Arabidopsis thaliana: one gene and its partners. The protein of the gene in region 3 interacts with the protein of the main gene of each other region in a biochemical or structural test. Each region holds a gene or a part of one and is shown on either strand. Other genes may lie near its edges.

Region 1 (7,987 bases), on a different chromosome or scaffold from region 3:
AAATGTAAATTACAATCATAATCTTCTTCTTAATTACTTACTTACTTTAATGATTAATTACTAGCAGAAACAATACTCTGTTCTCCTACAACATTTTCTATTTTTTAATATAAGAAAACTAATTTTCAACTATAAAATAGATACTATAAAAACGGATGAACGAAAATGAAAATGTATCTATTATATATGTAGTTAGATTTATCCTACCAAAAAAAAATGTAGTTAGATTTGTTGAAATTTTGTTTGATAAGTCATTTAAAAAAAAAAAGTAATTATCACGATAGTCTTTTCCTAAATGCAACCGTTTACAATTATCGATTCTGAAATTTACATAATGACAAAATTGAATACAGACATGAGAGTATTAGGATTACAACTATAACTGTAAGTTTCGTCGTTGACCAAAAACTAAAACTGTAAGTTTCGAAAGAAAACAAATTATTTTGGTTAAATGATTAATAGGGCGAATACTACTCCACTAGTACAAATAAATTATTTTATTGGCTTACAAAAACTGATGATTCTTTTATTCAGAAAAGAAATAGAGAATGTAAATCAAATAGTTGTAATATTTTGTAAACTTTTATTGCAGTGGCTAAAGTATTAAAGTCTTAAAAAAAAAAACTTAAGTTTGTCATAGTTTTGTAGAGATTATGAAAAAGAAATTTGTAATAAACATCGAAAGTTCAAAATATTGTTATCAAGTAAACTATCACAATAACAAACAGAGATACAGTCTTACAGAGTGTCAACACCCAAAATTAGAAAAAAATATTCAAAAAAATCAATCTATATATGTAAATATGGAGATAAAAGTACATTTTATATTCTGTCCCGATTTATAGATGCAAATATTTTACAGGAGGGAGCTCCGACATGTAAGGAAGTGCAAGCTTTGTTATTCTAATCTGTAAGAATTTTTGATAGTATGCAACAAAATGATTGCGTTTGATATCGCTTAATATTAAATATCGTGCATGAGAAGAAATAAGAAAATAAAAAGGGAGTTCGATAACGAAATTAACAATAATATGTATATATAGACGAAGTTAACTAATAACTAGCTTTCTTTATAACTATATTTATATGAATAAATAAAAAACACTTCGCCTTTTCTTCGGCTTATTCATATAAATTTATTAACGAATCTCACGTACACGAGCTCCTTTATATTAATTATGTACTAAACATTGATTTTAAGCACTAAAATACCATTGATCTGTTAATTTAAGTTGAAATTTTAACTTATATATATTTACCAAATGACATTCCATTCCCAAAGCAAATGCAATCTATTCGACGATTTTTTTTCGTTTCTTAGTTTCGTTTATGTTTTATTTTAGGGTGTTGGGCTTCAAAAACAATTTACATATGTCTCTTTAGTAAAACTTAATTTTGATCGATTACACTAAAATCGTCAAGACCAATTTTTCTTTCAAACACTTATACAAGTAAAAACATCCTCACCAAGGAATTTAGAACTTGAAAAATATCCACTACCAAATTGTTTTAGATAACATCAGGCCCGTAAAGATCATCATGCGATACAATCTTATATATATTACCAATTACCAAATGACAATTTCGTAGGAAATATCTTAAGAAACTACACAACTCCAATTGATATTGTAAATCCAGTCCCGTGGAAATATCTTCTATAAAGAAAGAATACAAGAGAAACCCAACTCTATTAGTGAGTAAGGATATTTCTCGAGAAGCATAGTGTAAATTCACTTCGTGCTCTTTGCAGATGTTGATGTCTGTTTAATTCAGCCATAAGACCATAACTCTGTAATTTACTTCCTCTTTTATTCTTTTTTGTTGAAATGTAAGGGATTAAAAAAGGCTTGACAAAAGTAAAAAAGTTGAAGGTCAAAGCCCACAATATGAATGGGCCTTGCGAGAAAATGCCCGAGGCAGAAATAAGAAGATGGAGTATATACAACTGATTAGGAAACGTATGTATGACTCGGGATATATTCAAAAACTTACGTAATAGGAGAAAAAAAGTAAAGGCAAAGAAGAAAGAAAATACTCGTCAGTCAAAAGAAGTGAAAATACAGTAGTAATACAATATAAATGTTAGAAAATTTATAATCAGTACTTTCAAAGAAAATTAAATCTTATTGAGTTGTAATTTAATTTTCCTAATAACAATGCGGAGATGTATCGATCAAAACCAACTCATCTAGACATAGTTCGAGACGGCGAGTGGTCGGTAGCTGCCGGGGGAGGAGATCCTTGTCTATGGAGGAGTTCATGTGCTAATGCTTGGAGGTCATGACTGTTTTCACCACCGAGCCCCACGGCGACAGAAGAGGAAGACGATGATACACCGTATTGGTGACGTGGATCAATGAATCTTCGTTGTTGCGTGGCCCATGCCGAAGAAGACGTCGTTTGATCGAAGATGGATGCTAGGTCATAGGTTGAGGGCAAGGGTGAGACTGATGCAGGTAAATCGGTTATGGCAAGAGGGGGAGGAGGAGTGAAAAAGAGCGGTTGCGGTTGCGGCATAGGCTGTGGCCGCGTTTGCGGTTGAGGTAGCTCTAGTGATGCCAAATGGGCTTGTAAGTAAGAAACTTCTGCCTGTAGATTCACCACCTATGTATACACTTTACGAGTTAGAATTTGTTTTGCATGATATGTAAACATATAGGTTTAAGGCTAAACCTGTACTTTTCTGGAATTTACGTAAGAATGCGATTAATGGCTTACAATTTATTGCAAATATTATGCACTTAGTTTGATCAGTGAAATCTCTATCTCTTACAGTAGTTTTTTATACGCTTAACGTGATAGCTTAATTATCCTAAAATAGTTTTTTTTGTTTTTTGTTTTTTTAAGAAGATATCCTATAAATAGCTAGTTAGTACGTGTTATTTTAAAATTTATGATTTCATGTAATTATCACATTTCTAACAGTTTAAGCAATTACCTGTTATTCACCTTTAACTATAGCATTCAGGAATGGAATTAATGCATGTTCGATTTGCTAAGGTTGTTAGGCCACAAATTATGTAAACTATTAACATAAATAGTAAAAAAATAAAATGACACGCATCATATAAGATCATCCCCTTATTACACGGTTAACAAAAATTGCGAAGAAACAAAATGATTTATCTTCAGTTTTCACAAGAAAGAAAACGGTTTTTAGTGGAAAAAATATAATGGTGTATATACGTATCAACACAGAAAATTGTACCCGACCAATTCCCGAAAACCAGCAAAACAAAACTTCGTAACTTTGCAATGGGACTTGTCACGACCGTATCATTTTTATATAATTGCATAATAGATTATATTAAAAGATTTCATAAGTAATTAAACAGACAACCATGCTTTTTTTTTCCTTTATACTCAAAGTAGAAGATTGCAAAACCAAGAAAACTCAAGAAAGTGCAAACTCTCGAAAAACTCGACGATTTCATTTCATGCACACCAAAAAATTGTTCATACTAAAACGAATTTGCATGAGTTTAAAATTATAGATTATTCCCAAACGAAACCGAAGTTTGCTACTTTGGAAAAGAAAAAGAAAATTGTAACTGTCACCAAAATAAATTGTGGTTAGTTTAAGTCAATTAGTATGTTTCACATATATTGATTTCCAACGCATTTTACTATTGAGAAAAAGTTTAATAAATTATTAATTACCTGTTGCTGAAGAGCAAAGATGTGAGCGACGCAACCGTAGATAGGATCCCTTATCCTAGCCTGAGCTTCATAGCAAATTGTTACGACAGCATCGGACCTTCGATGAACCGGTATGTGTAATAGAAGCTTCGAGACGTTACTGGCTCCGAACACTTTATGCACCGCCGCAAAATAAGCCGATCCTTGCTCGGAGTCAAAGTACGGTGCAAATATACATCCCGGCACACACTTCCTCCTTAGAAACTTACAAGCACCACATGGCCCACCACCACCACCGCCACTACTTCCTCCTCCCCCACTGCTGCCTCCTCCACCACAACCACCACCTCCGCCTCCCACGGCAGTGATTGTGTTCCCACCACCGCTCATGACCGGCCACCCCCCAATTAACGAGTTGTTACTCTATCTCCCCACTCTTGCGTTAGGGTTTTAAACTTGTTGAGTAAAAATATGGAGATTATGTTTGGTATTGTTTGAAGATGAGAGGAAGATTTGAGAAACGGGAATCAAGAGAGGAGAATTAGGGTTTGGTAAGAGGAGAGTATAGAGAAGAAAGTCTTTAAAGCCAAGCGACGACAAAGCTAACAAAAAAAAAACGATCTCTCTCTATTTTCTCTTTTTCTCTCACATTTAGTTGTTTGCGTGAAGCAAACATGCGATAAGCCTCTTCTATTATTCTTTTTCACAATCTTTAACTACATAATTATATTATTTATGAATCAAAAGAGGAAAAAAGGGGGAAAATCGTTTGATTACCTAATATCCCTTGGAACATCTCGTGATAAAAAAAACTATTTTCCAAGAAAAATAAACTTCTTGCTTTCTCTTTATTTACTGTGAATATACATGTGAACTGTAATTGTTGGAGATATCTCATGAATTTAATTACGAACAAGATGGATAAATGAAATAAAATATTATACCCTTAATTAAGTTTTTTTTTGGCATAGTTTTTAAACTATTGACTTGAGGTCCAACTTAAATTAGCCATCAAACACTAAAATTTTACAATTTGTAACTATTGATAAAATAGTTATATATATATATATACATGGCGTGTATACAAAATGCCAGTTCTTAGTTATTTTCTTTAATGATTCGATTTTTCAAAATTTTATATTATCGGAATAAAAACGCAAAAGCTTATGTAATTGAAGAAAGACCTTTTTGATAAGAAGAAGAAAATTCATAATTAATTGATGAAATAGTTAGTTACGCTTACTAGAAAATGACTCGTTCGCCAACTTATCTTTCCAAATTTATAAAAAGAGCATTAACTATGTTAAATCATTCATTCTAAGTTAAAATGAGCATTCACGTTTTCCAAAATCAAGTGTAATGGATTCGATTCCGGTTTAGAAACGAGATCAGAGTGAACCGGGAGTCAAAATGTCTAAATTTCTCGGTTTGAAATGGAAATAAAACGTAGTTACGTGTACCAACAACAAAAGTACACATGTCAATAATGATTGTAACTGCCTAGCGAGTGAAAGATCGAAGAAACGAATGACGTCATTTTTCACGTGGGTCCCACGCGCCGTTCCCTTAGAAAGTTAGTAACGCCTCTGTGCTTCCTCAATGTCTCCTCCACGCGTATGTTTTTCTTAAATGTGTAATAATCCTTCATTTTATTAGTAAAAAAAATTGAAGTTTGTTGTAATTTTTTTTATAAAATAAATACTGTTAAATAAATGAATGAAAAAAAAAATGTTAAGCTCTTGAACTTGAGTTTCGTATTCGAGTTTTAGATTTAGGTAAAAATATGGTTGACCAAAAAAATTGTGTTGGGCATGAATGCATAACAGCATGAGTCAAAAGACAATTCTTGCTATCATATTTATTTTTATTTTTTTAGTTTATTGATTAGTCATAAACATCGTCGAATTATATAATAGCGTAATAAATTAGAGATGAGATAGTGTAGGAGGTGGAAGTGACATGGTACCTCAAATCTTGGGGATATATGTACAGAAAGGGTCGACCATTTTCGATCAAACATAAACTATTTTAGTTCACTATATTTTCTCTTAGATTGTTTCTTGATATATATGATATATAGCTCATTATATAGTTAATTAAAAAAATAAAATATAATTAATCACTTCGCTTTTGTTGATGAAACTTTTTATTCCACTCGTGCAGTCAAACCCTAAATCTAACATTCTCGTCGAATTTGGTAAGGAATATATATAAGGATTGTATAAATTGATCTGTCTTACAAATTAATAGACGTAATTTAAAAATTATATATACACACATGCGTTGTTTAACCATATATTCAAATTGGGGGTTGATCCTATCATCCTACGACCCTATTATTCCTTTGAACTCTAAAATCCACTGGTCAATATCTACTAAAAAATATTATTAGAAAATTATACGGTGTCGCCTAAAAACAAGGCACAGCGATTGATTTAAGAGTTCAAGTGGAAGCTGATGATACAACTATACTACTAATCTTTTATTAAATATGCTTAATGTTTTCACAAATGTACGTAGCAATACAATCTAGTTAGGGTAACTTCACCTGGTTGGTCATTTATTCATAGCAACTACAACCTGTTTTTTCTTTTTCTTGGTAATATATCATCTGTAGGATTTATCGAAAAAAATCATATGTATCGGACAATATGGGTTACAATGAAACTTTTGATCAAAACATGTAGCGTTTTAGAATAAGTCATCAGGAACTGAAAACCTATAGCTAAGTTGAATATCTATTCGGAATAAATTGTTAAAGTTTCCATGGTTACACGTTAAGTAATTAAGGCCCAACGACTTAATCGATAAGTGGTTTGTCTCCCTATTGCATAAACTGACAAATGATTCCTTAAAAGTAGAAATGTTGCCTTGAATTAAATAGCTATTTGAAATTTTGTAAGTATATGTTTAACTAAACTATAAATTATATAAACACAATCCCAAAATTCTTGTAGCTTGTTTATGTAACCACAAACACAAAAACACACGCACACGCACACATATGAGTTCATTTTAAGTCCAATTGATGGAAAATGGCTAACTGGCAAGAAATCTTTTTTTTTCAATTTTTTTTGTCAAACACTAGCAAGAAATCAAGCATATGGAATTCATTACTTATTTTCTTAAAATTATAAAAGAAAACTTATGTTGTTTGATATAATAATTGGCCCCTTGTCGGATAATTTTCAGACAGTGGTTGCATTTCAGGCGTAAGGCAGTTTCGATCTATAGTTCTGGTCGCAAGTTCAAATTCGACAATATTTTGGTCAAATCACAAAATTCCTCATTATTTATTTCGACGTACATCATCAGAATGTATGGGCCTTTATAATGATAATGTAGAAAAATAGAAGTATGACGATGTACAACAGAAAGATTTGAAGAGATCATTTAAGTAAATTGTACTAATGATCAATATAAAATGTATATAGTGTGTAATATAATTGTTTTAAGAAAGAAGGAAATTTCTGCAAGTTCAAAATAAGAAACTTTGGGGCGTTAAACTAAAACATTTGAGAGTTAAGGGGCTTAAGGCTAATAGAGTAAGGGGAGATTCACGGATTAGTAGACAAGGAACCGAACGGCGCGATTCTCTTCTCCAACGCTCTCATTTCCTACTTACTCTCAATTAAGTTTATGAATATATTATGGATGCTGAATATTTTAAAAATATTTTTTACATTGAATTTAATATCTGAGAATCCTCAAACCTAATTAGATAAAAACAATGTCTTAAATCCAAGCAGAAGAAGAATAGTTGAGCATCGGATCACTTAACTATACATAGAAAACCTCAAACCACATTAGTAAGGTATATTTTAGATCAATATAAGGTAGTTCTATGTTTAGTTTGGGGCCACAAGTTCGACTATCATAATTCTCTCTCTATGTATACATATATCCGGTTAACTTATAGTCCATCCTTGAACATTTTCTAAAATCATTCGGTTAACGATAATTATTTTGGATTTCTGTTTTAAACCTGTCACAATGTATCTTTCACAATAAATTAATACATATAAATTTTAACTAAAAGAACTTTGGAATGATGTATTTTTTTTTTGTCTGGTTGGTAAAAATTCGTAGATAATTAGACTACTGATCATATTACGAGTAACCAAACCAATCAGATTCTAGTAATCTACGAAACATGTATAAATATATATTCAGTGCAATACAAATGTTAGACCATAGATGCAATAAAAGGGCTTGTTATAGGTTCACTATTAGAGAAGGGATGGTGAGGTAAGTGACTGGAATGCTTAGGTCCATGACTCCATGGGACAGTGAAGTCATAGAGGATGTAAGTCATACCACGTGTCTAGATCTTACGACGTGGCTTGTT
Region 2 (7,595 bases), on a different chromosome or scaffold from region 3:
TGAAGAATAGAGGCCTCAATCTTTTGCATCGAAACCATTAAGTTCCAGGAGATTCAAAAGATCAGAGTTCAGTCTCAAACTATAGAATCCAATGAATTATTCTCAACGATTTTGTAGAACACACAACATAAAGTAACTTGGAGATGGGAAACAGGGTTTGGCGAGCTCGAGAGACTCAACCGGTGCAAATCTAAACAAGTCAGAGACAAACATCATAAACAAGATTATAACAACAATTATAGGTTTTTTCTTTTTCATAGAAAAGCTTGCCTCACAAGTGTAGATTTCATCTACTGCTAACTCATTTTCAGCCACGCCACTCGATATTGCATCCTCGTCAACAACTGTACTTTTCCCAACCAAAACCTGTCCTTGGGCCTGAGAATAAAAAAGAGTAGACTGCAGTGCAATCTGAAAAGAAGTTTTTGCATCTTACACGTCTTGAGTGGTATCACGCTCTAATTCTACAGCTTTTTCACCCAAAATCATAGTCTCCCAGACTTTATCCTCAACCTCAGAAGCATTGTGACCCGCTGACTCCACTAGAACCTGCTGCAACCTCGCTTCACCCAAAGATAATTCCAAAGTAGCCTCTTGAACAACTTCTCTAGCTATGCATTCTTCATTGGACGCAATGGATTCTTTCTCCTGTAAGGCTATCAATTTATCTATGGCTTTCTGTCGCATGGTATTATCGAATCTTAAAGCTTTCAATGCTCTTATCGCATAATGAAGTTGATCCCAGAGTTCCTCCAAATTAGTTTCTGATGAGAATCAAAAAGGGAAGACTGCAGTGCTCTCTGGAAATCAGCCTCTGCACCCTTCACATCTTGAGTGGCCTCACCCTCCAACTCTACAGCTTTTCACCCCAAATCATAGTCTCAGTGACAATTTTGTACAAACGTATTTTTTTAGTGAATATAATTTTATTAAATTAAAAGCTGAAAACCCACAAAATATGGTAAAATAAAATTCCAACAAAAAATGAATTAATAATAAAATCTATAATATGTATACTAGATAAGTACCGCCTAAATATACAATGTAAGATATATATATTATTATTATCTTTTCTCGACAGTACAGTAATTCAAACATTTTTCTTGATATTTAATTTAATAATTTTTTATTTAAACAAAACTCTAGTCTTTTGCAATCTATTTTATTATTTTATTTTGATTCTACACACTTAATATTATTGATACTATTTAAATTCTAAATATTAACTCACACACATTTTTATATTTAATTTAATATTTAGAAAAGAAAAAAAAAATCTTACACAATCAATTTTATATACATCTTATATAATAAATAAAGGTTTCTCCTATTCAAGAGCTACGAGAAGCTGACACGTGACATCTCTCCTTGTGACATGTGTCCTCTCTCAACTTAAATACACTATTATTTATTTTCAATAGTTTTAATTATATATCATTATTTTTCCCAAATATTTCTTTAAAAGAAATTTTTCCTACAAACTTTTGTGATCATTTAAAATAAAAATTAAATATCTAAAATTTATACTTAAATACAAAAGATTCTAATAGTGGATACAAAAGAAACAAATACAGCTTATTTTATAGTGTCATTTTAATCTAATAAAAAGACTTACTCTTTAATTAAAATTGGGTATTGCTTTTTCTTACCGTTAGTGTATTTTATATTATTCCATTAATGTTTATTTAGTCATAAAATATTTTTATATATTATTAAATTATTTACAAACCCACGCAACGCGTGAGACATTTCCTAGTATTTTTATAAGAATATGCACAAAATAACCATAGATTGTAAAAGAATTAACAAACTAGCCATGCTGTTACAGTACACTCTATTTCTTCACTTGCAATTACTTTTATACCCATTTCGAACTTTATATATATTACACGTTATTTTCCAAAATTACACAAAACACTTAGATGATTCTATGGCGAAAAACTTCCGACGAATCCGAAACAAACTACCACTCATCTCTCTTTCTTCCACCACCACAACCACCACATCTTCCACCATCACAACCACCAGATCTCTTTTTCGATAAATGTAGGCTGCCAAACGTTATTTATATTGATAGATTATTTCTCCCTTAATTTGTAGAAGATTTCTCATTTTATTTTGTTCGATTTTGATTTTTTTTGGAATCTCCGTCGTTATGTTTTCTTTTTAAATTGTATGTTATTTTTTTTAACCACGTTATTTTTTTAAATTACACGTGATAACTGAAAATCTCTTTCTGTCAACATACTACTTTTTCATATAACAGATCATTTATTATCATAACATATTAGAAAAATATCATTTTTTGATAAATATCTTGTTATTCTCATAAACTTGCTTTCGATTTAAGTTGTAAAGACATTTTTGTATTTTTTATATAGTCATATGATTATTTATTCACATAAAAACTGATAATGGTTAGTTTTTTTTTTTTTTAATTCTATAATTAGTTTCTAATATTATCTTATGTATATATGCTATGGTGGTTACCTAGAAATCTCTTAGATCCCACTTGAGACGTGCACTTGCCTAGTCGCGTCAGACTATTGTGTTTAAAGTTATGAAACAAGTTTAACGCAATGAGATAAATACCACAAGTAAATCAGTGAGTACTCGAGCAAGGATGAAACAAGTTCTATGCAATGATGAGACAAAGACCATAACTCCATAAGTAAATCGTACTCGAGTTAAACAAGATGTATCGAGCTTAAGGAATATACAATTAAATTTTTTCTAAGATGTTTAGAAACAATAGGAAGAAAACCCGAAAAAAAGTAACAAAGAACATTTTCTTTTATCCTATTTTTACATATGCTCCGAGAATAATTCCTTAATCCTATAAATCTGTCCTAATAAGAGTATTCTAAGCCGTCGTAATCTAATCATATTCCTCCGGTGGTAGTGGCGGCACTGTTCACAACCCAAGAGAGATCAAAACTCGCCGGAGCCGAGTTCCCGGAAAAGCTATCTCCGGCTGCGAATTCCTCTAACCCATCGAAGAAATCATCGCTAACCACCGTATCCGACAAAGATAACAGATCTTCTTCTCCGTCAAGATCTCCCACCGCTAGATGATCCTCAACAGGCAAAACAAATTCGTCGGCTGAAGTCACCGGAGACGATGAATAAGTAGCAATAGTGGTCGTCGGAGATTTACTCGTCTGTTGATCGGATGGTTTCTGACGTGTGCTTCCGGCGAGAGAATTACGGTGTGTCGGAGCTGGATGATTATGCTCCGCCGTGTAAGTGACGATAAACATCTTCGGGTCGGATCTATTTCGCTCCACTTGTTTACGGGCTAAACAACCTTTTGATGTACTACATCTGTAGTATCCTCTGTTTTCATGAAAATGAGAATTAATTAGAATCCTTTACCAAAAATGTAACGCAGATAATAATTTAACAAACCAAAATCAGACAGAATCACAAAAACAGACAAGTTTCTTTTGTCTTGAAAGAATACACACATTTATAACTCAATAAATGACTTTTTTTTTTCTGGTAATTTTTTTGGTTTTACCTTGGATATGGTGAACCTTTGATGGGTTTCTGTCCGTACTTTCGCCATGCCCAGACATCGGAGTTTAAAGCTTCTGCTGCTACATGGCACACTTTCTTATGCTGTATCTTTCTGTAACAAGCAACCAAATAAAAACAGAGACTTTTTATTTTAGCCTTCTTGATTCAATCAAATTTGATGGGTTCGACAAAAATTGAGACTTTTAACCATTTCTATACAGCAAAATTCGGAATTTTGATTAATTCAACAGAATTTCGTAAACTTGTTGATGGGTTTGACAAAAGGTTTAAACTTTATCGAAAATTGGGTGAAGAAACGAACCTTCTTTTAGATCTAGAGGTATTGGAGCCACTGGGTTTGCTAGTGACGCTACCGGAAGAAGCAGAGAGAGAAAGAGGACGTTTCTGGTTCTGTGGCTTTCTAGGTTCTTCTGGGTAGTTTATACAAGAAAACGAAGAGACGACAGATTCTTGTGTGAACGGTGTGTAGAGATCTCGAATCTCTCCGAAGGAGACGGCATTACTTTGTCGTCCGACGGTGAATATAGGGTTTGTGTGAGATGAAACGCCGGGGGAATATACGGTGGTAGTAGCTGATGAGCTTACGGCTGAGCAGCCTCTGACTACGGCGTGGAGATCCCAATCGTCGGCCATTGAATTTGGTTACTCAGGGGAGACAAAAAGCTTCGAATCTCTGAGGAGAGAAGAGAAAAAAGCAGAGGAGACAAAAGAGAGCGCTGACTTTTGAAGGGTAGAGAGATATGTTTATAAAGAGACTGAAGATGGACGAAAATAAAAAAAGGGTTGAAAAAAATGGAGGAAAGATTTTATTAAATTATTATTTATGATTCAAATACAGTATAATATACAATTTTGTTTTCTTCTCTCTTTTTGTTACATTGTAATTATTCCACATATCAACTTATTGTTTTGAATGGATATTGTGGTTAATCCGGAATAATCCGTCAGCAGTACAGTCTATACTATTTTTTGAGACGGATATGTTGTGGTTAGTGCGAACTAATCCGTCAACGGTCCAATCTATACTATTTTTTAGGACAGAGAACAAACCGCTGCAAACTTAGTTTAAAGTCAATCCGCATCAAATTTATTTGTTTTTTTGGTTCTGCTTCATTACGAACTATAGATTGTGAATGATAAATAAAAAGCGGTTCGGTTTGTAGATGGTTTGTCCGCTTGGATCGCTGTAACCATTCAAAGTTTATCTCGCAAAAATTAGTTTATTAGTTGAAAATATTAATAGACATGAATTTATGAATTACAAAAAAAGACCTGAAAATATTTTGTTGAGTCACACAACTTGTGACTATAAAATATATTTAACTAAAAATAAAATTTGTGTACGGATGGTGTAAACATACTGAATAATTTTTGTATATAAAACAGGAAATGAAGAAGGACATGTGACGATTGCACAAAACTAATACTAGATGTTGTAATTAGCAAACTAATAGGAATCGTCCTCTATAAACCGATGCCATTATTGTGCCAACCTATCGTTACAATTTTACTAAATGTTAGTGTTTATTTGACATATTTTCCTTTTAGTGATAGCAATTGTTTAGACATTACTAAATTAAACATATCTCTGTATCTTGTTTTAAAAGCAAATAAGTATGAACACACTTGGAAAAAGATGAGCACTGTCGGAATCACAATACGTGTATATGCCGATTATATAATACGTATATTAGAATATTTTATATTCTATATATATATAGAGAGAGGAATAGTCTCTTTGGCTTTTTTGGGCAATTCTAGAAAGAGAGAAAAGTATGTGCTTGAAGAAGGTATCTCGATGCTTATCCTGTCTTTGTCGCCTAGTGACTAAAACCACTTATGGTTTCCGGTTTCTTGTATTTGGTTGACTTTGATAAAATGTCAAAGGCTTTGAATAATCTCTTAATTCATCTTTTGTCAACCTCACACTCCTTTGGACATTTCCACGCGTCTCTCACACGCGCTTTTAGGGATCCTTTGATTTGATTTTAAATAGTGGGAAACCATACTTTCGTACTAGTGCCCACTTTTTATCGATGCGCACAAGATGAAGTAAACAATTCTTAAATCTTTTTACACCAACGATTATGGAATTGGAAGTTGTCAAGATTAATTTAGACAAAAAAAATTATAATGTTAAGGGATAAGAATAAAAGTTTAATTTGTTGTGAGCTTTCGACATTACAAAATAGTCAATCTAACAACTGATGTTTATAAAAAAAGAACCATTCATGGATAACACATATGTATTCCATTTTATATTTTTCCAAAAAATGTGCTTAAATGCAATATAAAAAGTATGTAGATAGAAAGATAGTGATTGTCACTTAGCACCATAGTGTTGATCACTCTGCCACATACTCTAAACATGGGATACTATTGTACCATTCATTACCTTTTGAGAATAGCAACAGCAAAGCACATGTAGGTAATGTTATAAAAAATAATAATATGAGTAGTGTGTTTATTTAGTTCTTCCCATTCTACAACTCATTTAAAAAAAAGAAAAACAATAACATAATTTTTGAAATAAACACACAAATTTACTAAACATTTTATTTTCGGAAAAAATATTATTCTTTCCGTTTCACAATATAAATTATTTTAACTAAAAACACGCAGATTTAAGAATATTTATTTTGAAAAAATTTAACTAATTATTATGTAATAATCATAAATATAAAAATAATATATAATTTGTATAGAAATTTAAAAACAATTTGTATTGTAAAAAAAAAATTGGTTCAAAATAATTTATATGGTGAACAATAAGAAAGAAGAAAAGGAAAAAGAATTTTACGAGTGAAGCAGAGTGTGACACACGTGCCAAACGAGGGGAGCGCGTGATCTCCGCGAGTAAAAAAGGTTGACAAATTTTCATAAAATCAACGGTTCACACGGCGAGTAAGATAAGATGACGTGGAGTTTGCTACAGCTGTCGAGAAAAATGCTTTTATGCCGTTGTTACCATTATCTCTCGCCTCGTGATGTTGATTCCTCTTTGTGTTAGTCAATCGTACGGCTTATAACGAATCACAATCTTTGTAGTCATTCATCGGACGGTCAAAGCTATTATAAATGCTTCAACTTTGATCCAACGGTCAAGATTCTCCTGACCCAGTCAGGGGTGCATGAGCCACGTGAAACCTTCGAGGACGAGTTTTTTTAGCAAAAAAAATATTTAGCTCCAAGTGGCCTGCACGAGGCATTGTATCACAAAAACGCGTGGACCCAAACCCAAGCATTCTTTTATTATTATAAAGATACATACAATATTACTAAAAACGAGTTAAGTCAACATTAATTTAAACATTGTGTTTGACTAACCGATTTTTTTTTAATTTTATATCTAATCAAGTTAATGATTACTTTTATTTATATTTTGTTGGTAAATCACTTTGATTGTTCGACAACTCACACAACTGATGCATTTTTTCTGTTAAGTTGGTAAACCCCAATTAGTAGGAGGAATTAATAAATGAGTACTCCTCCACTAATCAATAGCTGATTTGGGCTTTTTGGGCCGTTAGTGAAAAAAACGTTGGGCCAATACAAGCCACTGTGGTTGAAAATGTTATTCTCACGTGACTTTTTACAAGTGCTTTCCTTTATATCTGGATTGGGCTTTAATGGGCCGTTAGGTAAAAACGTTGGGCCTAATACAAGCCACTAAGGTTGTATATGTTTTTATCTCACGTGACTTACACGTGCTTTCCTTCCCCAAATTTTCGCGCTTACCATTGAAATTTCAACTTTTCTCCCCTTGTTGGGGAATAACGCTAAGACGAAAGATACAATAGACACACTGGTCAAGTCCTGGTTATCTGAAATAGGTTCGCCACTGCTTCCCTGATCTCATTTTTGGTTATCCCGAATAGGCTTGCCACACAGCTTAGTTCCACTCAGTTCACATAGCTTCACATAGTTTTGGTTATCTAGAATATGTAGGTACATAGCAACTAGTTGTCACTGCTTCCCTGGTCCCATTTTGGTCATTGACTTGTGAACTTGGTTCATTATTTCACATTTGTCATGTCTGAAGCAATGTAATCCGA
Region 3 (7,955 bases):
GAAGAAGAAAAGCAAAAAGAGAAAGGTGCCTTCTAAAAGTTTAGCTTATATCAGATAGTGTGAGGTTTTCTAGCTTATGCTAACATGAACCATGATCGGTTGTGTTATGAATTTGCAGCATTATTCGTCCTCAGAGTCGTCATCTAGCAGTGATGAAGATGAATCTAGAAGATCAAGATCAAGTTCGAAAAGATCAAAGAAGGAGAAGAAGCACAAGTCCAGCAGAGACAAACACTCTAGCAAAAGTAAACACGAAACCGATGGCCCTGTACCACTCTCTAGATTCTTTGGCAATTTGAAGAATTGACAAAAGCAAAACTGCAAATGAACTATTACAAAGAGTAAGATTGTCTTCAATCAAAATACTCAAAGTAGGATATGATTGCTTTCTTCCTTGTTGCAATGTTATATTTTTGACAATAGCTCATGTATTAATATTTGTTGGATTGAAAGTCGCAATGATGCCCACAGAATCATGGTTTTTCAGTTTATTTGCTTAAAAATGAAATTTGACAACATCAAAAGGGAATCTAGCAGAAAATCTTAGCACAACAAAATTTCTGAGAGATGAAAAAATTAAAGGAAATGAAAAGGGAAATTATTCAAAGAAAAGCAGAGAAGGAAAAGAAAAAAACAGAACAAGGATCAAAGATATGGTCCTTTTCAATCATTGCTGGTTTCAGGGTTGAAAGCTAGGGCTTCACAGTAGATTAACTCTCTAAACTGCTCCTCAGAGAATGGATGTTCATCTAAATCGAAATTGAAGGGCTCTGAGCACTCTGGTTCATCGGTAATGTCGTGAAACGAGCTAAGGTATGGATGAGCAAGTGCTTCTTTAACTGCAAAGTGGCAAAACTGATGATAAGAATCCAAATAAAACTGCAGAAGAGGCTATATGGAGACAGAAACTGACCTGAGATTCTCTGTTTAGGATCAAATGTTAGCATCTTCTCCACCAAGTCTATTGCTAAGGGAGGCACGTTCGGGAATTTCTCAGTGAAAGATTGGCGAGGAAGCGTAGGAAGCTGCCTTATGTATCGCTTAGCGTATTCACTCAACGATCCAAGCTCTTCTTCAGATGGAGTGCCAATGAGCTGCAAAACAATGTCCCAAGACTTTTTAAGCTAATCATGAATCACAAAAAACGAATATGATCTTGGCACAACAAAGGGTTTTACTTTACTACCTCCAGAAGCAAACGAAGCTGATTAACTTGATCTTTCCCCGGGAAGAGCGGTTCACGGTTCATTATTTCCATGAAAATACAGCCAACAGACCAAACATCTATTGCTGCGGTATAGTCAGAAGAGCCCAACAGAAGCTCAGGTGCACGGTACCATCTTGTGACAACATACTCAGTCATTAAATTACTCTCAGGAGTTGCACGAGCGAGCCCGAAATCACAAATCTTTAAGTCACATTGTGTACTCAAGAGGAGATTGCTTGGTTTTAGATCTCTGTGTAGCACATTGGCTGAATGAATGTACTTTAATCCGCGCAGGATTTGGTACATGAAATACTGCCAAAAATTTGAAGATTGTGTCAAGCTCACTAATCAAAATGATTTTTAAGTTTCAAGAAACAATAACTCTAAACACACACCATGCCATGATCTTTGGTTAGTTCTTGATCTGATTTTAAGGTTCGATAAAGGTCAAACTCCATCAATTCATTCACAATGTAAACATCTTCGAATGAATCTCTCTGAGGAGGCAAGATTACGTCTCTGATTGCAACAATCTATAGAAAAATGATATTACATAGTTAGCTTTTAATGAATAACAAAATAAAAGAAAAAAGGTGAGACAATAGTTATAAAATCAAACGAACATTCTCATGATCGAAGTGACGAAGAAGCTTGATTTCACGAAGAGTTCTCTTTGCTTCGATAGTGTTATCAAATACTTGCGTTATTTTCTTTATTGCTACCTTCTCATTGGTCTCGGAGTCCACAGCCGAACTGTAAAAAAAGTTAAAAAGAAAAGTAAAAACTAATGTGTCAAGTGAGGAAATTTTAAAAGTAACAAGAATAACATAAAAGTCATGAATGGTATAATAACTGTTTAGAGATCTCTATGATAGAAACGATTTGAACTTTTCTCATAAAAAGATGAAACTTATCAACCCAAACCATAAATTACACACAAAAATGGTCATGGCATCTACATTCTAAAGTGCTCAAAATGATTAGGAAAAGAAATGAAACTATTAATTCTGTTAAAAGGATATTACCAAACGATGCCACAAGCACCTCTGCCAATAGGCCTAATCGGTGGCTTATACTTTGCGGGGAGTTCAAAGATATGCCCAAATAGATTGTACTGGATGTATCTGCCGTCATGGCTGAGAGTCCCCGGAATATCGATAGTCGTCTTGAGGATTTGAGATGACGGCCAAATAGCGGTTGTAACCTCTCCTTGAGTTTCCAATGTCTCAGCATCGTTAGTTGGCTCCATGGTTTTCTTTTTGTCTCACACAACCTCAAACTATTCTGTTGAGAGAAGTGATGTTTTTGCTTTGGTTGGGTTTAGTGGTAGTGAACTAAACTTATATAGAGTGGATATGTGTAAGTATGGATGTTTAAGTCCAGGTCCAGGAGGACCCAGGAGATATGAGTTTTGATATATTTTGATAGTTTTAAGGTAAGTTTTTTTAACTTATAGGAATTCTGCTGTGAATTTCCTTTTCCATATGGAAAAAAAAAAACTAAATAATCTTAATATATTTCCAGCTAATGAATACAAAAAAACTAATTAATTTATGGAAGTGTATAAGTGAGATGATTTTAGGTAAGTTGTTAGAAGAAGATTTTTTGCTTTTCATACACCCTCTTAAATTAAATGCAAACATGGCAATACAATTTGGATACATACTCTTCATATTCATTTCCTAATTTGTGTTCATTTTTGTAAACAATTTTCTGTATTTTCATATACTTTAAATTTAGTATAGAATAATATTTTTTGAAAAATCAATTTACTTGAAATTTTAAAATATATAGATATTTGATATGAAGTTTCTATGTAATCACCATCACTTACAAAGAAACCTCAAAAATATTATTAATAAACATAATTCAAAATAAGTCTTACCATTTATTATTATTATTATTTTGTTATTATAATTTTTTTTAAAAAAAATAATACTATACTAAGTTTGGTAGTTTTTAAATATGTGTATAATTGGTTTTCATTTTTTATTTACAGGTTAATAAAATATTTGTTTCCTTACCTACAAAATATTATCCCTTCTGCTACACTTAGCATGTTTGGGTGATGATGGGATTCGTTTTTAAGTAGATTGCTGGGAATAGCAAAAAAAAAAAAAAAATCTACAACAAATTTATGAGATCTAATTTAGTTAAATGTGTTATATATAATATATTTATAAGAAAAAAATAAAGTTCATAAGATTTAATAACAAAAATGACAGTCCAGCAATCAAATGATAAATCCACTGCATCACCACTTCTGTATTTTATCATTGTTTTCTATTTGTGCTGATAAATAGAAACACCACACACTTCTGCTAATGTCGTTCGTTGATTTATCATTGTCCATTCTGTTTTTCATTTTAAATGATAAAAAATATGCTTACACATTGAAATAATGTAGTAGTGGTCGATAGACATATACAATGTTTAGTTAATCTTGTCAAATTTTCTAAGTTTCTGATTAGTATTCTTTCGTTTAGAAATTAAAACGCTTGCAAATTCACAACTTGCATAAAATTAGTAACTTGCACATACGTCGACGGGAAAATTCACAAGTACAGTAGGGAAATTAGGTAAAGAGTAATATAACGATGCTATATGAAAAGTAAAAATTCAAAGCCACGAAAGTAAGATCAAAACTAGATGGAAATACAGTTTTTTAAAGAGAAGAAACGTTTTCACTCGTCGTCAACTTCATTGATATGGCTTCAGCAGCTGAGTGAAGTGTACGAATACGGTCAATCAAGTTAGCTTTCCTCACATTCAAGGCCAAACAAAACTCGATAGGAAGAATGTAAACAGACACCACTAACAACTGGGAATGTGATGAACTAATTAAAAGGATACAAATCTAACAACAAACCGATACTTTGGAGTGTTGTATTTGTTCTTGTCTTGATTAATAAGACGGATTCTGGCACGATTATCAGTCTTGCCATCTATATTAAGAAAACACGAGAACTGTCACAACAAAATGTTAGCTTTTGATTAAACAAAAAATAAATGTTTCTATCTGTGTAGAATGATTACCTCTTCTTCTCCTGGATTTGACCTGACCCCTGAGTCAAGGATGACGATTGCTTTTTCACTAAACCCTAAGTATGCCACTTTAAGGCCTTCTGTTATTGGGCCTAAAGCCCAAAGTTATTAGGGGAGAAATTGCTGTAATAATTTTACGTGTAACCTATAACTTTTGACCCAATTTAGCTAGTTCTAAATTTGCAAAACAAATCTCAGCATCCGAACGAAAAGAAAACAGTTTTTTTTTATTACACTTTTTCTGTTGCCGATGTTAACGGTTCCAAGAGACGAACAAAAGTAATTCTTGGCAATTATAAGAAAAATAGAAAACAATTTTCAGAGTCTTTACGCTTCGGAGACATCAACGTTGTTCAAAGCTTCTTCTGGTGACGATGATGCATCTTGGAGACTTTCAGAAGTTTCATCAGAGGGTTTCGATTCATGCTTAGCAGCAGCTTGCAAAACCCGGCTTCGAACATCTGAAGAAGAAGGCGAAGTTGGGAGGCCAACACCATTTGTTTCTAGTTTTCCTGCAGCCCACGAGAAAGCCTGAGCTCCGAGTTTCACAGGTGCAAGCAACAGCCTTGAAGAAGAAGATGAAACAATCTTTGTTAAGACAGAACAGAGGTTTCGCTGAGTTTTTGCTATGGAAAAAGGGTCTAATGATGGCGCTTTTATACCTGACGTCTTGTTTGAAGTCTTCGGAGTCATCATATGAAGAAAGTCGTAGGTATATAGTCTGCATAATGTTTGAAACTTGAAAAACAAAACAAAGCAACTATAATTTGACAAAACTTAGAAACTGGAAAGGCTAGTATATACCAGACTAAGGCCGATGACAGCTATGAGTTGCAGTGTTTTCTCCCACTCTGCGAGAGATAGAGCAATCATGTTAGTGCAAAACGTGGATGTGAGGAGCTTGTGTGTTGTGGAGAATATGAGATATTCTAAAGGGGAAATGAGAAAGAATTAAACGCACCAGACAAAGCATACAATGCTGCGAAAAAACCCTGCATATATCTTCTTATATTAGTCAGGATGGGATTATTATTAAACGGAAATAGAAAAATAGAACTAGAAGCATACCACACCAACTCCAAATAGTTGCAATGGAGAGGGATTTATGTCCTCAAAAATCGCCTCAGCTTCCTGAAAAGCATTTAAGATATGTTTAACTTACTGATGAAAAGATTTGAGAGCAGTTTCAATTTCATCTAGCTGAAGAAACAGTCCAAACATATTTGTATTCATATGGTATTACCTCGTTGAGGATGGTAAGTGTTGTCTCAGGTTTTGGCTCTTTCACACGAAGACCTTCCTGTACCCATGATCTATACCCACCTTGCATCAAGTATGGCCTCTGTCACATCATAGGCAACCAAAGAAGAGCTTATTCGAAAATGTTTAAAGGTAACTTATTGTGTTCAAAGTGAATTATGCCTGAATGACTTGCCTTAATCCCAACTTTTCTCAGGGCTCTTGCAATACCCTTTGAACGAGTTCCATCAGCATCCATAACAACAACCTTGGACCTGTCCTATTAGTGGGAGAGTAAGCAAAATTATGAGATGTCAGCATACTTAGAAACTGAAACAGCTCGAGCCACAAAACCATAGTAAGTTACAAAAGAAGCATGAAGGTAGCACACCTGAACTATTTTCAAGTTCTTGATGATTACTGCTGTCAAGATATCATCTACTTCACTTCCACCTTTCAGTAGCCGTTTGACATCACCGTCAACCTTAAACATGAATCAAGAACAAGAACCCATAAAAAATGTGAATAAAGAAAAGTCTGATATCCTACTTCTGTTGCACTGATTGCTGAAACCTCGTTGTGTTCATAGATTACATGTGTAGAGTTTCTATATTCGCTGTGGTCAACAACAATGAGGATGCTAAAACCAACCTCAGGCAGTGTCACGCTAGAATATCGAAATCGAGCTGATCTCCGCAGATCAGGTATTCCATCTTTCTCTCTCAAGGCCTTCAAAAAGACAGTAGCCAAAATGAGCATTTTTATTTCAACCCAAACTCCTTGATGAACATTATGTGAAAGAAATAATCAAATTGTGGTGGGTTTTGAAAAGTTATATATCATGAAATGGGAACTTGTTAGAAACTTAAGAGCGTCTTACTTCAGGCCTGACATCTATGAGCACTGACTTGTCTCTTGATTTTAAAAGGTCCAGAGTTGACTTGGGAGACAAATCTCCAGCATATCCACCATATGTCCAAACCCGATATAGAACCCTGCAAATATCTGGTGGAAAATATAAATTCTTCTATACTACATTGTCCTCTCAAGAAAAGCAAGTTTAATATCCTTCTAGGGTAAGAAAAGCCGTGTACCAAAAGGTTCCTGTGGTGCCTACGAAGAGAAAAAGGTGAAGGATTGGGTCATCTGGATCCAAACCGATATTTCTCTCCAAACCTCCAATGGCAACAGATACCTGTTCATCATGATACTGTTAGCAACTGTAGTCCATAAAGAATTAATTTTCTTCTACGAAAATATGAATGAACCTTCAGTATATAAGACAAAGCACCTGCTGCAATACAGCTCCCACGGGACTCAATACTTTTAGAGCAACATCTTCTGACGAGTTAAGGGCACTCTTTACATCTGGAGGAAGTAATTCTTTTGCTGATCCATAAGAGTACACAACAAAAGAAACTCCATTTGTTACAGATCTCTCTCCAAGACTAACTGATTGCCTCAGCAGATCAATGGCAATAACAGCTGCTCTGTTTGAAGCTTCCTTCAAGCCAGTAGAAAAACTCGAAAACTTGTCTCCAGCTACATCTCCCGTTTGGTCTAGCGTAGAAAACGCTCTGTTAACTGCACTATCTACAACTTCAGAAGCATTCTTTGTAATGGATGTCACAGACGAGGAGAAGGACTCCAAAGTGTTCTTTACAGCATTTTCTCCTTGGTTAAGTGAAGAGCTGAAGGACTCCTTGACCCCAGAAGAAAAGTCATCAACGCTAGCTTTCGCATCAGGAAGTGAAGAGCTGAAGGACTGCTTGAGCCCAGAAGAAAAGTCATCAAAGCTAGCTTTCGCATCAGGAAGTGAGACTGAACTATCCGGAGATATTTTAACAGTCGCATTGGTTCCCGATTCAACAGAGTCTATAAGGCTACTGGTCTTATCGGTTAAAGTCTCAGCAGAAAGGCATTCAATGGGGGAAACATCTGGTACAACAGCTTCAACAGGAGAAACATCTGCTGCAACAGCTTCAACAGGGAACACATCTTCTCCATTTTCTACATATGTCAGTCCCTCATCACTCGCTACAAAAGCTTCACTCATGTTATAAACCATGTAGTTTATTCTGTCCAACTCATTCTGGCACAAACTTCCGAATGTTGATACTGGTTGTTCTGTTTTTTCGATAGTACCGGTCAAGAAACTCCCAGTGGCTTGAGGTACGAAACTCTTCTGCAGGCGTGTTCCATTAGAGATACCAAAGAAGGCATTGTCACCTGAACTGTATCTGTGAATCAACTCTCTCCTGAAGGAAGAACAGCCTCGCCAATTGCCAGGAAATAAAATCTGCAGAAACAAACCCGTTATGAGGTACTTACTTATCTATGAAAATGAATCCAAAAACCCAAAGCACTAACAAAGCGTAACACCCATAGCTCAAATTGGATGACTTCAATAAATTTGCTACCAGTTAGCTTATTTACTTTCACTTCTATAAAGAAAATCTAACCT
Region 4 (7,744 bases), on a different chromosome or scaffold from region 3:
TCTTTCTTTGCTTATACTGTACTCCAATTTCATGGAATCAACCACACCATTTGGCGAGAAGGATCATGAAGATGATTAAGAACACAAGTGAAGAAAGTCCAATAGCAACACCAAGCACAACTTTATTAGGACCATGATGCTCTTCTTTCTTCTTCTCACTAGTATCATCTTCATTTCCGTAATCATAATCTGAATTCGAATCTTCTTTCTGCGGCGGTGGAGACAAAGGCAAACCATGTTTATCACACTGAGCAATACCCAATTTCATCTTCGATGACAATACACTATGGTTGTAACAAAGATCACTGTTTCCACCGATTTTGAACACTTCGAGATTCTTGATAAAGCTCGCATTGAATGGTAGAACTCCATGGAAGGCATTGTTAGCTAGATTCAAGTGTGTGAGATACTTCATTTTGGAGATGAATCTTGGAATGGTGCCGTTTAGTTGGTTCCCACTCAGATCTAAGTGTGTAAGCTCTGGAATGGATGAGATTGAATCTGGGATTGGTCCTGATAGCTTGTTTGAGGATAAAGATAGGTTTTTTAAGGAGATTAGGTCACCGATTGAGTCGGGTATGTCTCCGGAGATGGTGTTTTTGGATAAATTTAGAGACTTTAGGTTTGAGAGCAGAGTAATGGAAGTGGGTATTGAGCCTTTGAGTAGATTGTCTGATAAGTCAATGAATGTGAGATTTGAGTGGAATGATTTAGGGATGTTTCCGGAGAGATTTGCGTGTGAGATTGTCAAAGAGACGATCTCGTGCATATTTCCTAGGATAACGAAGAGACCAGAGGTTGAGACTGGAACAGAAGAGACTGTGAGGTCAGTGAGGTTAACGAGACGAGCTAAGAAGACTCCGGAGAGGCCATTACGGCGGCGGAGGAAGGAGGAGACGGCGGTGAAGGAGTGGAGTGAGTCAGGGAGACGTGGAGGAGGGGAGAGTGAAGGACAGTTGAGGAAAGAGAGAGAGGTTAGAGATGGTGAGAGAGCTCTGAGAGCTGTTGTGGAGATGGAGAGATCGGTGGAGCAATTTGTGAAGGAGATGGAAGTGACGAGGCGAAATGGGGAGCTGGTGTCGCAGGTTACGACGGAGGAGGAGGTGGATTTGGTGGTGGGACGGTGGTTGCAAGGATCTTTGACGGTGGGGATGTTGAGAGATTCAAGGGCTTTGAGTTGTTTTGGGTCTAATGGGGAAGAGGATGAGGAAGGTTTGTGAGGTGGAATGGGAGAGGTGGTTGGAGATGGAGTTGGAGAGAGGGAAGGAGCGGCGGAGATAGTGGCTGAGAGGTGGAGGAGGAGGAGGAGTAACGGTAACGACGGAGGTTTCATGGTGAAGAGAGAGAGAGAGAGATTGAGAAAGAGAAGGATAGTGTCAGAGAAAGTAAAAGAGAGAAAGAGAAGAAGAAGGAAGAGAAAGATTGGATTTTTCAAAGATGGGTCATGTGACAGTTGGGTTTTGTATACTTTTAGCCTTCTGTTTTTGGTTTAATTACGATTTTGACCTTATTCTAATCTTCTTCTTTTCTTCTATATGAACTCTTATTTTGTTGCATTTAGTATTTAACTATGTTTTTGGCTTTTTAGTTCAACTTTGGTTGTTATGGATAGAGATTCTTTTGTTGTTTTTTTGCTATGTGTTAGAAACTTTGACAAATGTAAACAACCTTTTAAAACTCATTATTCGACATGTACCAACCATAATCAATTTATTTGCTTTACATTTTCTCTATGTCATTGTAACCATTCAAAACTCTATAAAGAAGTGTATAAATAAGGTATATTACCAAATGTTATTTCACCAGGATGATTTTATGCTCTGCCCTGGATTTGATCGTGTAATCTAAGACTCCATTGATTTTGCTTTTGTAAATAGTTCATCGATATTAGCATTAGTCCAGTCCTTATGCATTGAGGTGGGGACAAGAAGAATATCATAGGAATCATATTTTTTTGTAACCCCCATACATGAATTAATAAGGGAGGTCTTTTAAAAAGTTTTCGGACAGAACTCAGATTTAGGCAGAAAAAAGAAATACATGCATGAACTAAAGAACTAAGAAGTTGTACACTGCAAGAAACACCATTAGAGTCACACTGTTAACACTTTGTTATAAACGATGCGGTTTTTGAGTTTTTTTTTTGTTTCACTTTGGTCAGAGACTTTTTGTGAGGGTTTACTTCTAGAAGACGGAGTGAACAAAATGAAAATTAGACCTTAGAGCTAATATGGTCAATACACTCATTGTCCTTCGGCATTTAAAATGGTAATTACATTTTTGTTGACTAAATTAATACTACACTTTATGATAAATTAACTAAAGACAACTAAATATACAATAAATGAGTCATTTACACATTAAAAACTAGATTTAATTCATACTAGCGTTTTCACAAACATTCAACTATGTTTACCCCAAATTCAACAACACCTAATGTGTAACGTCAACAAAGATTATTATCTCACATTTTCTAACTTGATTTTCAATCTAATTATATTTCTATCAAAATATGTTAAAAGAAATAATTAATTTGAACTATTTTTAGTAATACCTCTAAAAATCTAACTAGGATAAAAAAAAAAAAAAATCTCATTGTAAACTAACTTCGAAATTAATTTTCTTAATTTTACCTCACTTTCATGTTGAGATATGATTTAAGAAAAACACAAAAATGGCTAAGCATTTAAGAAATAATTTAAAAAAATAATTAATTAATTTAATATATACAAAATCACACTAATGCTACCAACAAACTACAAACGTTAGATTTCAATCCATAACAAATTTATGGGTATAGTAAAAACACACATTAAATGTCTTTTCTTTCTTCTCCTACCTTACAAATACGAGAAAGAACAAAGCTAACACAAAATCGGAAAAAGACTTCACTTTTTTTTTTTTACTAATTAATTAGTTTTTTTTTTCTCCTTTCCAAAACAATGGAGAATTTCGTCGACGAGAATGGTTTTGCTTCTCTAAACCAAAACATCTTCACACGTGATCAAGAACACATGAAAGAAGAAGATTTTCCATTCGAAGTCGTCGACCAATCAAAACCTACAAGCTTTCTTCAAGATTTTCACCATCTTGATCATGATCATCAGTTTGATCATCATCATCATCATGGCTCCTCATCTTCACATCCTTTGCTCAGCGTCCAAACTACGTCTTCTTGTATCAATAATGCTCCTTTCGAGCATTGCTCTTACCAAGAAAACATGGTCGATTTCTATGAAACTAAACCAAATTTGATGAATCATCATCATTTCCAAGCAGTGGAAAACTCATACTTCACTCGTAATCATCATCATCATCAAGAGATCAATTTGGTCGATGAACATGATGATCCTATGGACTTGGAGCAAAACAACATGATGATGATGAGGATGATCCCTTTTGATTACCCTCCTACAGAGACTTTCAAACCTATGAACTTCGTAATGCCAGATGAAATTTCATGTGTTTCTGCAGATAATGATTGTTATAGAGCAACAAGTTTCAACAAGACCAAACCATTTCTTACACGAAAGTTGTCTTCTTCTTCTTCATCATCATCATGGAAAGAAACCAAAAAGTCAACCTTAGTCAAAGGACAATGGACTGCTGAAGAAGACAGGTTCGTTATTAACACAAGAAACCTCAAGAATCAATTAACATAATCAAGACTTTTGATGATTACACTATTCTAGAGGTTTTTACTATAGTCACCCGTTTTTGCTTGTAAATGAAGTTTTCTTGTTTTGGATAATATAGGGTACTGATTCAACTCGTGGAGAAGTATGGATTGCGTAAATGGTCGCATATCGCTCAAGTGTTACCGGGAAGAATCGGGAAACAATGTAGAGAGAGGTGGCATAACCATTTGAGACCTGACATTAAGGTATTTTACTAGTAGCTATAAGATCATGTATTGATGATTATGGAACCTAAAAGATAAAGATTGTTGCAGAAAGAAACATGGAGTGAAGAAGAGGACAGAGTGTTGATAGAATTTCACAAAGAGATTGGAAACAAATGGGCAGAGATTGCGAAAAGACTCCCGGGAAGAACAGAGAACTCGATCAAGAACCATTGGAACGCAACAAAAAGAAGACAATTCTCTAAAAGAAAATGTAGATCTAAGTATCCAAGACCTTCTCTGTTGCAGGATTACATCAAGAGCTTGAATATGGGAGCTTTGATGGCTTCTTCTGTTCCTGCAAGAGGTAGACGCAGAGAGAGTAATAACAAGAAGAAGGATGTTGTTGTTGCGGTTGAGGAGAAGAAGAAGGAAGAGGAGGTGTATGGACAAGACAGGATTGTGCCTGAATGTGTGTTTACTGATGATTTTGGATTCAATGAGAAGCTGCTTGAGGAAGGATGTAGCATTGACTCTTTGCTTGATGACATTCCTCAGCCTGACATTGATGCTTTTGTTCATGGACTCTGATTTGTATTTTTTATTCTGCTTGTTTCAGTTTTGTTGTTTTTTGTTTGTCTTTTTATACGAGACAGATTCCACCAAACTTCAATAATTTGAAAAGATATAAAATATTTTGCTTTTTAAAAACATGTTGATGTTGAAACAATAGAAACCTAACTTGCGGAACCCGCCAAGACTTGTTGCTAAAATAAGAACATTACTTAACTTGTGGCTCAAGCAACCATATGAAAATTTATAAAACAACCAAAACACATATGATCAATCTTTCAAAATACAAACATAACGTATCTTCTCTTAGCAATCGATCAAAAGACAGTTCAGAGAAAGGGAAGTCGTATCGGTTTTGGAGACGAAAGGATTGATACGAACCCAAACAAGTGAAAACACAGAAGCAAGCAAGATAGACCAGAGAATAACAATAGTAGGTGTTCTGTTTTGTCTTCCCATAAGACCTTTGAGGAATGGATAAAGATGAAGAATCACCCAAAAGGCGAAAAATACCTTCCCAAACAAAGGTCCCCAAGCTTCATAACCTTTGTTAAGAGCGTCAGAGAATCCAGCAACAACTCCGACCAAGTTGATTATAAGAAGTGACGTCGGAGGGATCAAGAGAGTTGTCCATTTGACAATGTAAAGCTCACCGAATTCTAAATCATCTGCGGTTTTCGATGTGACTGTGAAATTTGTGTCGAGACCAGCGAGCATTTTGAGGAATCCTTGGAAAACGGCAAAGAGATGAGCTGAGACACCTCCAATAACCCAAAACTGTTCGTTTCTCCATAAGTCTTCGATACTGACTCCGCTCCATCGAAGCTCGAGGACACTCGTTAAGATGATTGATATAAAGAGACCTAGAAACAGCATGCTTGCTAGGTTTGATAGCTGCAATAAAGAACAGAAACAAAGATCAAATTCTCAATCTTGCTGTAACCTAACCAAAGTAATTAGTAGTATGAAAAAGTTACCGTTGGGATGATAAATTTGCCGGTAAGAAGGCAAATAGCTGGAAGAGTACAGTAAGCAACAAGAGGCAAAGAAGTGAATGGGTAGACAATAGTGTTTATATAAGCTAATCTCTGGAGCAACTTGAGGCGGCCTCCGCTGCAACCGTACCACAAAGGACAATGTCGGCTAAGGAAGATCTCAACCGAGCCAAGAGCCCAACGTAGAACCTGGTGAAGCCTATCTGATAGATTGATTGGAGCAGATCCTTTAAATGCTGGTCTTAATGGCATACAGTAAATCGACCTCCATCCACGACAATGCATCTTGAAACCCGTCAAAATGTCTTCGGTGATCGACCCGTAAATCCATCCTATCTGCGAAAACAGAACGAAAGGTTATAAAATGTACTCACAAGAGAACTTTGATATGAAGAAACAAGGCACTTACTTCTTTTCCCCATTCAGTTTTCTCTTCGTATCCACAGCTAATGACATGAATAGCTTCTTTGATGAGCGTTGACGGGTTTACAGAGTCGGGAACACCGCCATTCTCCATAAGAGTAGACTCGATGAAAACCGTAGAGAGACCAAACGTTTTCTCAAAGCTTGTTTGTGAAATCAGCATCGATCTGTCGTACTCATCGTAGTTGTCTAGGTCCCCAAGATTAAAGATTGCAGCATCAAGTTCTTCTCGCTTTGCATCTTTGTAAATCTCGGAAGGATCTTGAGGTTGTTTCTTCTTGGTTAGACAGCAACACGACGATGATGAAGATTGCGGTAAAATCCTCGGTTTTGAAGGTGGACTGTATCCGTAAAGTGCTTGTCTTCTAAAGACAGTACCTGTACCAACATAAACTGGACCTTGAATCCCATCAAGCCCTCTCATATTAACCTGAAAACATCATATCAAAACCACAAAATATCATAAGAAATCTCAAAACTTTGCTTGAAGTTATGAGTATGAGATAACTTACATCGAAGAAAACAATGTTGCGGTTAGCATATCGATCACTCTTGTCGATTCCATCAAATCTCTGTGGGAACTGAACAAAGCAAACGTCTTGACCAACAACAGGATCCATTAAAAAGCACATTGCTTCACGCACGGCTTTGCTATTGTTGACGTAGTGATCACAATCAAGGTTAAGAATGAATGGAGCATTCGTTAAAACCGCAGACACCCTCACCTACAAAGAACAAAATCATTAGGATTGTGCTAAATTGAACGATAAAAGAAAAAGTTTTGAAGTTTACCAATGCGTTCTCTGCCCCGGCCTTTTTGTGATGCTGATAACCAGGTCTCTTCTCTCTAGAGACGTAAACTAATCTTGGAAGTTCATTTCCTTCAATGTCGCGAGCACCGCTATATCCAAGAAAAACCTGCAAGAAAGAAATTACGTGACTAACAAGAAAAGACAGAGCATTTCAGGTCAAATGTTTTAGCTAGCAAACCTGAATCATCCCGGGATGGTCACGAGTGTTGTTCCCGGGCCAAGATGTTCCATCTTGCATTGTCCATCCTTCTTCTGGTGTCTTTTGAGCCTTGGCGACTAAAGCATTCATTCTTATTTTAAACTCTTCATAATCTCTCTACAAGAAGAGAAATTAGACATTAAGTTTTCGATTCAATCATCGGTTAACGCTATATGAGATTAATTTAAGGTTTTAAAGCCCTTGCTTACTTACTTTCATGGCTCTACGTTCTTTCACAAAAGAAGGTTGAACTTTATCCCTCAAGTAATCGATTTTAAGCGAGAAGTAAAACTCGGGAGCTCGTGGCTCGATGGAGTACTTTTTGCAGAAAGGTACCCATTTCCTAGCAAAATCTGCTGTCTCAACCAAAGACTCAAACGAAAGCATTGCAGCACCATCATCAGATACATAGCAAGAGACTTTATCCACCGGATAATCAAGCGCGAGGATCGAAAGAACCGTGTTTGCAGTTATCAAAGGTGGCTCCTTTAATGGATCTACCGTACTAACAAAGAAATCTACAGCTGCAAGCTGTGATTGCTCGCCTTCTCTTTCGAATCTGCATAGTTTTGATAAATGGTTTCATAAAACTTAAAGATTGGTAGTAACTGCGCAGATTAAGCATATAACGGTTATAAAACATTTGTAACCTTGCGGATAACCGGTCGATGTAAGTTTCTCGGTTAATAGGAGACCATTTAGGGAACTGATCCAACACCCAAGAAACAGCAAACCAAATCTCACATATCACAGATGTTAGCCATAAACCGTAAGCGCTATCGACAGGATGCGTGATACGGTAGTTAAAAAACAGAGCCAAGATGATCAACCGCATGATGATGACAATCCTATATGAAGTGATTTTTGTCCTTGGGATAGGAATCACAACCGAAAGCACATC

The links.
Region 1: of the proteins of MPK10 (region 3) and LBD18, one has a biochemical effect on the other in vitro, tested with the Arabidopsis thaliana proteins (one large-scale study listed by BioGRID).
Region 2: of the proteins of MPK10 (region 3) and WRKY22, one has a biochemical effect on the other in vitro, tested with the Arabidopsis thaliana proteins (one large-scale study listed by BioGRID).
Region 4: of the proteins of MPK10 (region 3) and MYB98, one has a biochemical effect on the other in vitro, tested with the Arabidopsis thaliana proteins (one large-scale study listed by BioGRID).

Annotation. Positions count from the first base shown.
Region 1 is NC_003071.7:18,714,643-18,722,629, reverse strand, and holds LBD18 (LOB domain-containing protein 18), read right to left. Parts: upstream 4,283-7,987; 5' UTR 4,030-4,282; coding exon 3,661-4,029; intron 2,605-3,660; coding exon 2,185-2,604; 3' UTR 1,901-2,184; downstream 1-1,900. UniProt on the Arabidopsis thaliana protein: Involved in the positive regulation of tracheary element (TE) differentiation. Involved in a positive feedback loop that maintains or promotes NAC030/VND7 expression that regulates TE differentiation-related genes.
Region 2 is NC_003075.7:519,957-527,551, forward strand, and holds WRKY22 (WRKY family transcription factor), read right to left. Parts: upstream 4,294-7,595; 5' UTR 4,174-4,293; coding exon 3,842-4,173; intron 3,632-3,841; coding exon 3,521-3,631; intron 3,337-3,520; coding exon 2,883-3,336; 3' UTR 2,574-2,882; downstream 1-2,573. Other genes in the region: AT4G01240 (S-adenosyl-L-methionine-dependent methyltransferases superfamily protein), read right to left, coding at 138-378, 439-764, 1,968-2,016. UniProt on the Arabidopsis thaliana protein: Transcription factor involved in the expression of defense genes in innate immune response of plants. Interacts specifically with the W box (5'-(T)TGAC[CT]-3'), a frequently occurring elicitor-responsive cis-acting element.
Region 3 is NC_003074.8:22,086,949-22,094,903, reverse strand, and holds MPK10 (MAP kinase 10), read right to left. Parts: upstream 2,505-7,955; 5' UTR 2,457-2,504; coding exon 2,233-2,456; intron 1,961-2,232; coding exon 1,831-1,960; intron 1,741-1,830; coding exon 1,603-1,740; intron 1,520-1,602; coding exon 1,187-1,519; intron 1,095-1,186; coding exon 914-1,094; intron 840-913; coding exon 664-839; 3' UTR 501-663; downstream 1-500. Other genes in the region: AT3G59800 (stress response protein), read left to right, coding at 1-25, 119-307; AT3G59780 (Rhodanese/Cell cycle control phosphatase superfamily protein), read right to left, coding at 4,580-4,817, 4,915-4,973, 5,057-5,103, 5,214-5,244, 5,321-5,383, 5,496-5,594, 5,688-5,771, 5,883-5,975 and 5 more.
Region 4 is NC_003075.7:10,308,126-10,315,869, forward strand, and holds MYB98 (myb domain protein 98), read left to right. Parts: upstream 1-2,904; 5' UTR 2,905-2,942; coding exon 2,943-3,619; intron 3,620-3,756; coding exon 3,757-3,883; intron 3,884-3,952; coding exon 3,953-4,432; 3' UTR 4,433-4,720; downstream 4,721-7,744. Other genes in the region: RLP51 (receptor like protein 51), read right to left, coding at 38-1,333; IRX1 (cellulose synthase family protein), read right to left, coding at 4,721-5,308, 5,392-5,745, 5,819-6,262, 6,345-6,557, 6,625-6,750, 6,823-6,960, 7,057-7,402, 7,494-7,744. UniProt on the Arabidopsis thaliana protein: Transcription factor that binds to the motif 5'-GTAACNT-3' in the promoter of target genes (e.g. DD11 and DD18) and promotes their expression within synergid cells (e.g. in the filiform apparatus) in ovules.